3 linked regions of the Oryctolagus cuniculus genome follow. The main gene of each other region encodes a partner of the protein of the gene in region 2 in a complex. Links are inferred from orthologs where the notes say so. Each region holds a gene or a part of one and is shown on either strand. Other genes may lie near its edges.

Region 1 (3,740 bases), on a different chromosome or scaffold from region 2:
AGATGGGGGGGGAGGGGGCAGCACTCAATGTGGCCGCAGCTGTAAGCCCAGGCCCCACACATGTCCCAGACTGCAACTTTTTTTTTTCCAGTGCCTGAGACAAGGGAGCAAGCAGCAATTGCAGGGGCGAGCTAGGGCCCTGCGGTCCCCACAAAGCCACTCACTAGGGCGCTCACCAAGCCTGCACCACCACCTAGCCCTCCTGAGCAGGTGCTCCGGAGACAGGAAGTCCCAGGACAAGGACAAGGCGCACAGGCAGGACCTGGAGCAGGTCCCGTGCCGGGCTCAGGGCCCCCGGCTCACCCTGGGCCCCAGGGAAAGGCTGCTTCGCAGCTGGAGTCCCAGTTCAGCCTTGCCAAGCTCCACACCTGGGCTTTGAAGCACCAGTAATTCCAACCCCTTCAAAAAACAACTCAGGAATTCTAAAAAAAGACCTACAACCTACAGCCCAAAACTCTCACCCTCCCTGACTCCTGACATGAAACAGGGTGAGGCAGGCCTGGTGGGGCCCCCTGAACCCCGAAAGTGTGCAGTGACCGCATCACCCGTCCCCCACACCAGCTGTTCCAAGGCCGGCCCCTCTGCTGAGCCGCCAGGTGAGCACGCGGTGCCCCGCCCCTGAGCTGTGGCCCTGCTGCTCAGGGTGTCAGCGGGGCATCCTGAGTTCTCTAGAGCAAAGCCAGCACCCGAGGTTTGGCCTTGAGCTTCTCTGCTGGCGGTGACCACCAGGCCCCCTCTGGAGGGAGGGGGCATCACAGCCCTTCCTTCCACAGGCTCCCTACCTGCCCGGCGTGGGCCTCGACTCCTTGCTCTTAGCTCCCTCTGCGAGTGCTGACAGACAGGAACCCTCAAGTCCCTTCTCCTGAAGTCACACAACGGGACCTGACTCAGCCCGGGGGGCCAGGTTCCCCTTCCCATCTCTCCGGAGGGGAGGAGGACAAAGTGGTGGCCAGGAAAGCCAGCCTCAGTGCCACTCCTAGTGGCCCACAGCCACGCAGCTAGGCCTGGCCACTGCCATCCTCTCAGGGGCATGGGCACTCTTCCCAAGGGCCGCATTGTCTGTTCCAGGTCCCTCCAAGGCCAAAGGCCCAGAGGTTCCCGGGCCAGGTCTCAGCAAACAGGCCCGAGGGCTGGAGTAACTGATGCAGGGACCCCTCAGCCACACCCTGAGTCCAGGAGTCCCCTAGGGAGTAGAGCAAGATAGGAGAGGAGGAGCCCCAGCGGGGCCCCTGGGACCAGGTCTCCCTCTGCACACACCCTCACCCTGTTTTCTTTTACGAAGGAGAGGGAATAAGGGAATACAAAATTCACTGTCCCCAGTAGGCATCGCCCGGGGATGTGAGAGCTCGGGGGTCCTGGAGGACACTCCCTGAGGACCCTCTGGGACCCCTGGCTGGGAGACACAATGAGGGAAGAGACCTTGGGAGACCAGCAAGCGGCAAACGCAGGGTGCATGGGTTAGGATGCGGGGTTGTCAGAACCCGGAGGCCAAGTAAATCGGAGAGGGCAGGGGGAAAAAAAAAGACAGGTATAATTCCTAAGCATTTGGGGCAACCTAAAATAACGGACCGGGAGACCAACCCCGCAGCAGGGCCAGACCGAGTGCTCACACGCCCGCCGTAAGGACCGTCGCGGCTCTGCCTCTCGGTGGCCTTTCGCGCTGCAACGTGAGCCTCTCTCGGACGTCAACCCGCAGGCGTCGGGACAGCGCTGGGAAGCAAACTCCTGCAGCCCCAGCCCGGCTCCTCCACTCAACCTCCCGCCACCAGGACGCCGCCAAGCAGAGAGCCCAGGACACGGTCTGCGCGCGATGGTCTCTCACTGGGCTGGGTCCTCCCTCCAGCCGGCTCGCCACCGCCTCTGGTCTAACCCGGAGTCAAATCCAGTGAAAAGCTCCTGGGTCTGCCCCTGCACACACAGGCTGGACTCCCCCGGCCCCAACCTCAGCCTCCCTGGCGGTGGGAAGCCAGGCCTCCTGCCGCCTCCTTAGCAGCTGGGAGCCATCTCAGACATGCTCCAGCCCTGCCAGTTCCCAACGAGAAAAAACAGGGCAGACTTGGAACAGGACCAAGGCCAACGCAGGGTAACCCCGGTCGCGCGGTGGGAGCCTTGTCCGAAACTTTCCCATCACATCCCGGGAACCCCGGACACGGGCTGCTCGGCCACGGTTCGCCGCCTCCCACAACTCCATCGCTCAGTTACTCGCAGCGCCCGCGCCAAGGAAGCCCTCGGAGCCCCCTCGCACTCCGCCACCGCCATAACCGAGCCGCGGCCAGAGGGCCCCCGCCGGGCCCTCCCCGGCCCCAGCGAGCTCCTGCCGCAGAGTCCTGCGCCCCCGGTCCAGGGGGCTCCCCCAGGGGCCCCACTCGAGGCGCCCTCGCTCCTCTCTCCTCACCTGGTACTGCGCCGCGGGGCCCGCGGGGCCCATGGGGCGGAAGGCGGCGGCCCCAGGGCCCCCCACGCCGCCAGCCGGCCCCGGGCCCCGGAGCGCCGGGCCCGGCAGCATGCCGGGTCCCGCCGGGGGAGGCGGCGCTCCCAGGGCGGCTGCCACGGCGCCGCCGCCGCCAGGGCTCAGCGGGGGCAGCGGGAACCCGCCCGCGCCACGGCCCGACATCGCTCCGTCCCGTCCCGGCCTCCGGGCTCCGCGTCGAGTCCGCTCCGCGCGCTGCGCTCCGCGATCCGGGACTTTCCGATCCTAATTCCGGGTTCCGGGCTTTGTGGATCCGGGATCCGGGATTTCCTAATCCAAGTTCGCGAGTTCCTTTCTGGCCTGGTCTGGGCCAGGGCCGACCCCGATTCCGCTCCTGGCCCGGGAGATTCCGGATCCGGGATAGGCTGCGGGCCCGCCTGCCGCCCCCGGCCTCGGGAGGTTTGGCCACCAGAGTCCGGTTACCCAAAGGCGGCGACTAACTCCCGGCCCCGCCCCACCCAGGCAGCACTCGGCCCCGCCCCTCCCTCGCAGTCCAATGCGAGACTGCCTCCTCAAATCCCGCCCTCGCGAGACGCACCCCTAGCAGGCACCGCCCCTAACCGCCGGCCTAGGGTACCGCCCACAACCCGTGGGCCCGCCCTTCGCGGAGAGGCGGGAGCGGAAGTGCGAACGGAAGTGCCGAGTGAGGCGGGGGGTCAGAAGTCGAAGGTCAGCGAGGTCCTGGGCTCTGCTAGCTCGGGTGTAGCCACTAAAGCGGATTAGTCCGCTACTCCCCCTCAAACTACTTCTGTTGAGTCTTTATACAGTTCAGCGTTGAAGACTCGGCCTGGGGCCGCCCTCTGACCTGGACGGCGCCAGGCCCAGGCCAGCTGTGTGAACCGTTGACTTGGCCTAGCGCCCGGTTCTTATCGCACATTTTTAACATGGCTCTGTCTCATTTTAAAGAAGCCTGGTACTTGACTCCACAGGAAATGGTTCTCGGCGAAGGAAATTTGCCCTGAGAAGCGCCCCCCCACCCCCCAGTTAAACAAGTTCTGTCTCCAGTATTTATAGCACTTTATCTTCAAACGTTCGGTACTACTGACCTGTATCAGAAGGTATTCCAAATAAACGCTTCAGCTGTGCCAGGTTCCTAACCCGCCCCCCACCCTCATGTGGGGTCTCCCCAGGACATAGACCAGTGCTTAGACTTTAATGAGCATACAGCACACCCGGGCTCTCATTATAAATGCAGATTATGGCTCACTGGGGCCGCGGCAGTCCTCCAACCCTCTGTTAGAAATTAGTTCCCACTCGTACCTCTGTAGCA
Region 2 (3,640 bases):
TTTCTTGAAATTGTCATCCTCTAAAAAATGTAAGACTTGGTTACTGAAGGGAGTTCAAATGTGGCTTTTTAAAATCTCTCTACTTTTTAAAGGGCTTAATTTTTTTTAATCCATTAAAAAAATGCAGTAGTTTTGAGGGGATGCGCCCTTAGAAGTGGTTAATTAGAACCCTGGATGAGCACCTTCCGGCCCTTCTGCTGAAGGCAGCCTTCCCATCCTATCCTCTCAGAGACACAAGAAACAGCTTTGAAACAGTCCTTAGATACTCTGATATAAAAACGCATGCCCCTGCAGGGCACGGCGCGGGCTGTGGAAGGGCAGGAGGAGCTTTCCTTACGTAGTGATGAACTCTCCAGGCTGGGGAAGGGTCCCAGTGGTTGGGGGAGGGCTGTTCCTGGAACCGTGATCTCCTTGGGGGTGAGGGGGAGTTGTCTGGCTGGCTGCTCACTGTGGAGGTGGCACAGGGGTGACTGTGCCTGGGCTCGGGGCTGTGGGGTCTGGAGGCAGAGGGGTGCCTGGGTCTGTGGAGAAAAGGAAGGGGAATCAGCTCACGTGAGCAGAGAGAGGCTCCAGAGCCAGGCCACCACACATAAGCACAGGACCGGCCGTGGCATGCAGTGGTGGTGGATGATGAGGTACCTAGGATGTACAACTCCCCTCTCCCAACACCTCCTTCCACCTCATACTGGAAACACATGGATCCCAATCAGCCACCTATCCCCAAGGGAACTCTGAATGGAGCATTTGAATGTGATGGGAATGAGCAGAGGGATGCCAATCATCATGCAAACAAATAGCTGACTTCCAAGTTTACAAGGGAGATGCTCTGTGCCACAGGACTCCTCCGAGACCCACCAGGGAAAGGCCCCCACATCATCCCAGAGGCGGCAGCTGCCAGGCTGGGGAATGGTGGAGGACAGCCAGACAGGCCCTGCCTCCGGCATCCTAACTTTACCACAGTGTTCAAAAAACTTTGACTGCAGAAACTCTAGTAGCTGACCCCTTCCCCACCTGCCCTCCCCCCTTCCCTGTGGACCCCTCTCCCTCACCCTTCTCCCCTCCTGGCCCCTTCTCACCTGGCAGTGGGCTGGCACTGGGCAGGAGGTTGCCCTGAACAGCTGCCACAATGGCAGGGCTCTGGGCTGCGGCGGATCCGAGCCCCGGCCCGAGAGGCAAGGAGGATGGCATGGTGGTGGTCGCCGGCAGGTTAGGATGTAGAGGGTTCGCCATGGACACAGGCAGGTTAGGTGGGGGGAGAGTGCCCGGGGCGAACGGGAGATGGTGGTGATGCCCATGCAGGTTAGGAGGAGGGGGAAGGTTAATACTGATGGGGTCGGCTAGACTACCAAATGGGATGATGGATGGAGCAGGAGGAGGAGGAGGCGGCATGCCAAAAGGCAAACCCAAAGGAGCATTACCCGCCACGCCTGGGTGCCCGCTGCCTGGCACTGCCCCTGGCATCATTGAGGGAGGAGTTTGTTGGTTGGGGAACGGTGAGGGGCCTGGGAACAAAGAGGAGTGGTGAAGATTAGAGGCGTAAAATCTCACAGCAAGGATAATCTAGCTGCTCCCTGATGCCACCTTCCCTTCTCCTGACACTGGAATAAGTGGTTGCACTCCTTGGAACAAAACTCCAAAGATCGGGGTTTGGAGTTGGGGGGGGTCCCCTGCTGGCTTAGGGACATAACAGAGGTGCGCCCCTCTGTAGAAACACAGGCCAGTCTGTATCTCCAGGCCCCCCGCATAGTCCCCTTGGAGGGGAACTGGGACATTCACCTGGATCCCTTGAGCCAGCTAGAGTTCTGGAACCCATCACTTACCATGGGGTCCAGGGGGGGGTACCCCTGGTGGGACTGCCCCAGGCTGGGGGGCTCCAGCTGGTTGCTGCTGCTGTGGCCCTGCCGTTGACCCTGCCTGCCCAATCTGTTCAGAAGGGCCCAAGCTTCCAGGAGGGACCCCACTGCCAGCAGGAGCAGGGGCCACAGAGGCTGGAGCCACGGCCAAGCCATGGACTGCGGGTGGCCCAGCAGCCCCTGTAGGGGGGATAGGCTGGGAACCTGGGGGCAGGGTTGGCGGTGGCTGCTGCTGCTGTTGGTGCATCTGTTGGAAGTGCTGCTGCCGGGCCCTCATCTCCGCGTACTTTAGCTGCTCCATGTGGAAGGCTTGTCTGTCGGCCAGGAGCTGCTGCCTCTGATACTCCAGCTGCCAGTGCCAATTGAGGACTGTTACTCGATTTTCAGAAGATCCCTAGGCAAATGCCTCGCCCCCTGCTTTGCCGTCTTCTCAAAGACCTTGCCTCTCATTCTGGTGGTTCCCAACATCTACATTTTGTGCTTGTGCATCCTCTGTCCTCTCCACCCCACCTCTTGCAAATTCCCATGACCTTCATTGTCTCCTGGCTTCTCTTTGCAATGGAGTTAATCTGATGGTAGACTTGGCTCATTTCAGCTCCAAAGCTTTGAATTTGCCATTACTTTGATTTGGAAATCGCTTCCAGTTCCTCTTGTCAATTCGTTTTCTTCCTTCAACACTGGCTAGCGACTCACTGTCCTTAGGGAGTATCCCAGGTCAAGTCACTAGCCCCTGCGCTTGGGCTTTGTGGTGCCATTTCTCAGGACTCACACACATGATCTGAAATCTACTGGATTTCTACTACCTCTCAGCCCCTCCCCCAACTGCCTTGCTCAAAACTGAGGCTGCTCCTGGGCAGCCCTTTTGACCATGAGCCACAGGTGGTGGTGTGATTTGAATTTGTCAGATACTTTAGGCATCATTAACTGCTTTGATTGTCTTCATAATGGATATACGATGTTTCTAATTAGACTGTAAGTTCTCTGAGGGCAGAGTCCCTATTTCTTTTCAGGTGCTCTCAAAGACAAAATGGTTCAATACTTTGTTTCCATTCCCTTTCCAATTTAACATCCTGGAGCTGAAGCCCCTACACTCTCATTGCCCCTTCAACCCATTCAATCATTCAACAAATATTTACTGAGAGTTAACTATGGATCAAACACTTTTCAGGGACCTGGAGATGCAGCAAAGAACAAAACAAAACAAAACAAAACGACCGGAATGCCTGGCCCATGGAGCTGAGTCTAGGACCTCAGTGTCCAGGCTTCACGGGTGGGGCTCTGTTCCTTAACTGCACAGGGCTGGCGCCCAGGCCCTCAAGCTTTCTGCACTGCCATTTCTCTCTCACACCCCTCCAGTCCTGGACAGAGGGGCAGCTGAGTCTCCAGGAGGGTTCCAGGCTCCTGCTGAGCCCCTAGGGGAGGCCACTCACTGCTTCTCGCTCCCGGTCCATGATCGTCTCTAGCTCCTCGAAGTGCCGGAGTTTGATCTCCAACTTTTTCATCTGAGTTTCCACCAGCAGAGCCACCAAAGACTTGATCTTCCTTTCTTCGACGGCAGCTAAGTGCTGGGAGGGGGGGCGGGGGGAGGGACGGCTTGTGAGCAGCAGGACCCCGCCGCACACATCCCAGGGGAGAAAGGCAGGGCAGACATGGGCAGGTGTGAGAGCAAACTCCCTGCGGTCACAACCCACAGAAGTGTTGGCTTGGTATTTTTTTTAAAAAAGAGCAGCAAAAGATAAGACGAAGTCACATGGTTACAGAGCTGGAAACAGGCCCCCAAATTAAAA
Region 3 (3,740 bases), on a different chromosome or scaffold from region 2:
AGATCCAGACTATTATTATGAAGAGTTTACCCAGCATCTTTGTTAAATGGGAAAACACAAAATTCATTCTTTTTCAGTCCTTATAAGTGAGCACTCAATTAAAGAGCGCTTTATAGTCTAAGACTGGCAACCCTGTAGGAGCTGAATAGGCAAAAGCTATTTTCTAAAACTTTACATTTAACTAAGTACAACCGTGACACTCCATATTCAGCATTTCAGACAATTCATTTTAAGCACTTAATTTTCTTTTGTTCTACTTTACTTGCTTTGAAAGCATTTTAAGAATTCTTATATCAATTTGTTTAAGAAATTTCCTTTGGTTGGCTAAAAAACTGAGACATTCAAAACAGACAAAACTTAAATGGAAAGTCCTCAGGAAAGCCCAGGCCACAACTTCACACCCAGAGTGGAAGCGGGCACGACCTCCACACACTAAGGAAGCATCTGGGCAGCCCGCCTGTCTCCAGAGAGAAGGAGCAGCAGCAGGCCCCCACCCGCCCCTCTGCGCTGAAGTCCACATCTCACACCACCCCCGTGGACCAAACTGGAGCTGCTGCCCAGCTACAGGCCGGGTCACAGGTCACTCTCCCACCTGCAGGTGTAAGAGCTCCGGTCCCAGCTGCCCAGCACACGAGTGAGCCAGCCGAGGGATGTGTGGAGAGGGGTGCCAGGGCCACCCGAGGGCAGCCCCAGGAGTCAGCGGGGAGGAGTGAGGGGCACCTGAGGGCAGCCTGGGGGGGCACTGAGGGCAGCCTGGGGGGCACTGAGGGCAGCCCCAGGATTCAGTGGGGAGGAGTGAGGGGCACCTGAGGGCAGCCTGGGGGGGTGAGGGGCACCTGAGGGCAGCCTGGGGGTGGGGGCGGGGGCACCTGAGGGCAGCCTGGGGGGGTGAGGGGCCTGGGAGGGTGAGGGGCACCTGAGGGCAGCCTGGGGGTGGGGGCGGGGGCACCTGAGGGCAGCCTGGGGAGGTGAGGGGCACCTGAGGGCAGCCTGGGGGGGGGGCGGGGGCACCTGAGGGCAGCCTGGGGGGGTGAGGGGCCTGGGAGGGTGAGGGGCACCTGAGGGCAGCCTGGGGGTGGGGGCGGGGGCACCTGAGGGCAGCCTGGGGAGGTGAGGGGCACCTGAGAGCAGCCTGGAGGGGGGTGAGGGGCCTGGAGGGGCGGGGGCACCTGAGGGCAGCCTGGGTGGGGGGTGAGAGGCACCTGGGGGGGGTGAGGGGCACCTGAGGGCAGCCTGGGGGGGCGGGGGCACCTGAGGGCAGCCCCCAGGAGTGAGCAGCAGGGGAGGGGGGAGGAGCACCTGCGCGCAGCCCCCAGGAGCCAGGCAGGCCCTCGGCAGGGACTCCCAGGACAAGTGCAGCAGGGACACCCGGGGCCACGGCGCCAGGAGGCCCCGGCGCGCGACTCCGCGGTCACACACGGTCCCCGACTCCCGCCTGCAGCTTCCCGCAAACGACGCCAACTTGCGGCGCGGGGCGCGCAGTCCGCCGCGGGGAAGCCACCGACCGGGCTCCCGCGGCCCCAGGCGCCGGCCGGCTCTCACCAGAGGCGGCCCTCGGGACCCGGCCAACTTTCTCGGCCGCCCTCCGAGAGCGCGGCGCGGGGCAGCGGCCGCGACTCCGCCCCCGGCCCGGCCCGCCCCTCCCCAGGGGCGCCCAGCGGCCGCCGCCGGCGCCCGGGCGGGCCGCGGCGCCGCCTCCTCACCTTCGCGGACTGCGCTCCGGGGCTGGCCGGGTCGCTGTCGCACGGCCGCGGGGACAGCGCCGCCCCGGGCCCGGCCGCCGCCGCCATCAGCCCGAGCGCCCCGCGCCGCCGCCGCCGCCGCCGCCGCCGCCTCGTCCCGGCCGCCGCCGCCGCCGCCGCCGCCGCCGCCGCCGCCGCGCGGGCCGCCCGCCGCCCCGGCCCCGCCCCCTCCGCCCGCCCGCCCGGGGGCCGGCCCCTGCCGCCGCGCGCCCCGCGGCCCGCCAGCGCCGCCGCCATGGCCGCCGCCAGCGCGCCCGCCCGCCCGCCGGCCGGCCGAGGGCCCGGGCAGGCCGGCGCGGCTGCGGCCCGGAAGGAGGACGCGCGGCGGCGGGGCCGCGCGCCCCACGTCAGCCGGCGGCCCGCCGCGCTCCGCCGCAGGCGCGCTCGGTCCGCAGGCGCCCTCGCAGCCGCCGCGCGCCGGCCCGGCGTCCTCCTCCTCGGCCCGCGGCGCGCCCCACCTCCGCCCGCCGCCGCCGCCGCCTCGGCCCCCGGCCCCGCCCCGGCTCGTCGCCACTTGGCGCGCTCGCTGCCGCCCCCTCCCCGCGGCCCCCGGCCCGGCCCCTCCACACGTCAGCCCTCTCCTCCCACCGCGCCGCCCGCCCCGCGCTCCCTCTCCCGGGGGTCTCCCGCAACCCCTCCCTCCCCGCTAGGACCCGCGCCCCTCCGTCCCCCCGCCCCACCGGGGGTCCCGCCCCACCACCCTCCCTGCCGGGGGTCCCGCCCCCCCTCCTCTCCCCACCGGGGGTCCCGCCCCAACCCCTCCCTGCCGGGGGTCCCCGCCCCTATCTCCCTCCCATCCAGCCCGGGGTCCCCGCCCCCACCTCCCTGCCAGGGGTCCCCTGCTCCGCCCTCTCGCTCCCTGCCTGCTGGTGTCCCGCCCCCTCCCTGCGGAGGGTCTCCCCCCTCCGCGGCCGCCCCCTTCCTCCCCGCGTGTCGGGGTCCCGGCGCCCCCGCCCTGCTTGTGGCTGTGGCCGTGGCCCCGCGTGCAGTCGCTCGCGTCGCGCCCGTGGCCGCCGCCGTCAGCAGCCTTTGTTCTGCGTCCGCTGCGCGGTGCGGGCCAGGGACTGCAGCGCGGTGCGGGCTGCGGGCTGCGGGCTGCGGGCGGGCCCTCGGGGAGGGCGCCCTGGCCTGCCCGGTGGAGCTCCGCGCCAGCACGTGCGGTCGGAGCGCGCCGGGAGCGCCCTGTGCGCCGCGCGGCCCGGAAGGGACTCTCGCCTGGCAGCGTCGTTTTCCCTGCGTTGGCGGGGCTGTGAAACGGGGAGAGCCCGGCTGCGGGGTGATTGTAAAAGTGCCGTGCAGTGGAAGGCCCAGAAGACAACCAAAAAAAGGAGCTGTTTTATTCGCACTGAATTGATTTAGGATCCTCGGGCGCTGGCTCCACAAGGTCACGTCTAGGACTTCACTGAAAATGGAAAGAACCTTGAAAGCGCGTGCCGACAGCTGCTGAGATGAGAGCCAGAAACGAGTCCGGGTGGATTGCTGGGCAGACGCCTGTTGCCCGATGCCCAGGACTGGCTTCCGGGCACGAGGAGGTTCTTACATCTAGAGTGCGATGTGCGTGGCGTCCTTGTCAGTCACTGCGGCTGGCTACACGCCGCTGACAGATGTGGGAACACACACGGAAGGGTTGGGTGTCCCTCGCCTGAATCCAAATGCCAGCTCCCAGAGGGTGCCCAGCTGCTCTGCTCCCCCAGCTCAGACCAGCTGCCGCCCCTTGCAGAGTTCCCGAGGGGAGCCCTGTGTCCGCAGGCTGAGCAGGAAAATCTCCTGTTCCCACCACGCTTCTTCCCCCCAGAGGTCACTGATGGGGGCCCTCAGATTTCCTGGCGGGGTTTAAAGCTTACAAAAGAGAGGGGGAGATATCTGTCCAGTATTTGGTTCTGTCCTCTCCCGTGGGTACCTGTCTCTAGAACAAGGACACGTTTAAAACACCCCACTGAGCAGGCCGGCACTCATGTGTGCAGTGCGGGGGTCCGGGCTAGGGCCTCCGCACAGGCA

Evidence for each region.
Region 1: SMARCC2 (region 2) and SMARCD2 share a complex: the UniProt entries of both Homo sapiens proteins name them as parts of the BAF complex. The link is inferred for Oryctolagus cuniculus from reciprocal best matches to the Homo sapiens genes SMARCC2 and SMARCD2.
Region 3: SMARCC2 (region 2) and PHF10 share a complex: the UniProt entries of both Homo sapiens proteins name them as parts of the neural progenitors-specific chromatin remodeling complex. The link is inferred for Oryctolagus cuniculus from reciprocal best matches to the Homo sapiens genes SMARCC2 and PHF10.

The regions. Positions count from the first base shown.
Region 1 is NC_091448.1:14,876,625-14,880,364, reverse strand, and holds the start of SMARCD2 (SWI/SNF-related matrix-associated actin-dependent regulator of chromatin subfamily D member 2), read right to left. Parts: upstream 2,840-3,740; 5' UTR 2,615-2,839; coding exon 2,396-2,614; intron 2,008-2,395; exon of another isoform or gene 1,582-2,007; intron 1-1,581. UniProt on the Homo sapiens protein: Involved in transcriptional activation and repression of select genes by chromatin remodeling (alteration of DNA-nucleosome topology).
Region 2 is NC_091442.1:58,970,884-58,974,523, forward strand, and holds part of SMARCC2 (SWI/SNF complex subunit SMARCC2), read right to left. Parts: intron 3,419-3,640; coding exon 3,284-3,418; intron 2,203-3,283; coding exon 1,821-2,202; intron 1,503-1,820; coding exon 1,077-1,502; intron 522-1,076; coding exon 445-521; 3' UTR 1-444. UniProt on the Homo sapiens protein: Involved in transcriptional activation and repression of select genes by chromatin remodeling (alteration of DNA-nucleosome topology).
Region 3 is NC_091436.1:626,175-629,914, reverse strand, and holds the start of PHF10 (PHD finger protein 10), read right to left. Parts: upstream 2,215-3,740; 5' UTR 1,980-2,214; coding exon 1,704-1,979; intron 1-1,703. UniProt on the Homo sapiens protein: Involved in transcription activity regulation by chromatin remodeling. Belongs to the neural progenitors-specific chromatin remodeling complex (npBAF complex) and is required for the proliferation of neural progenitors.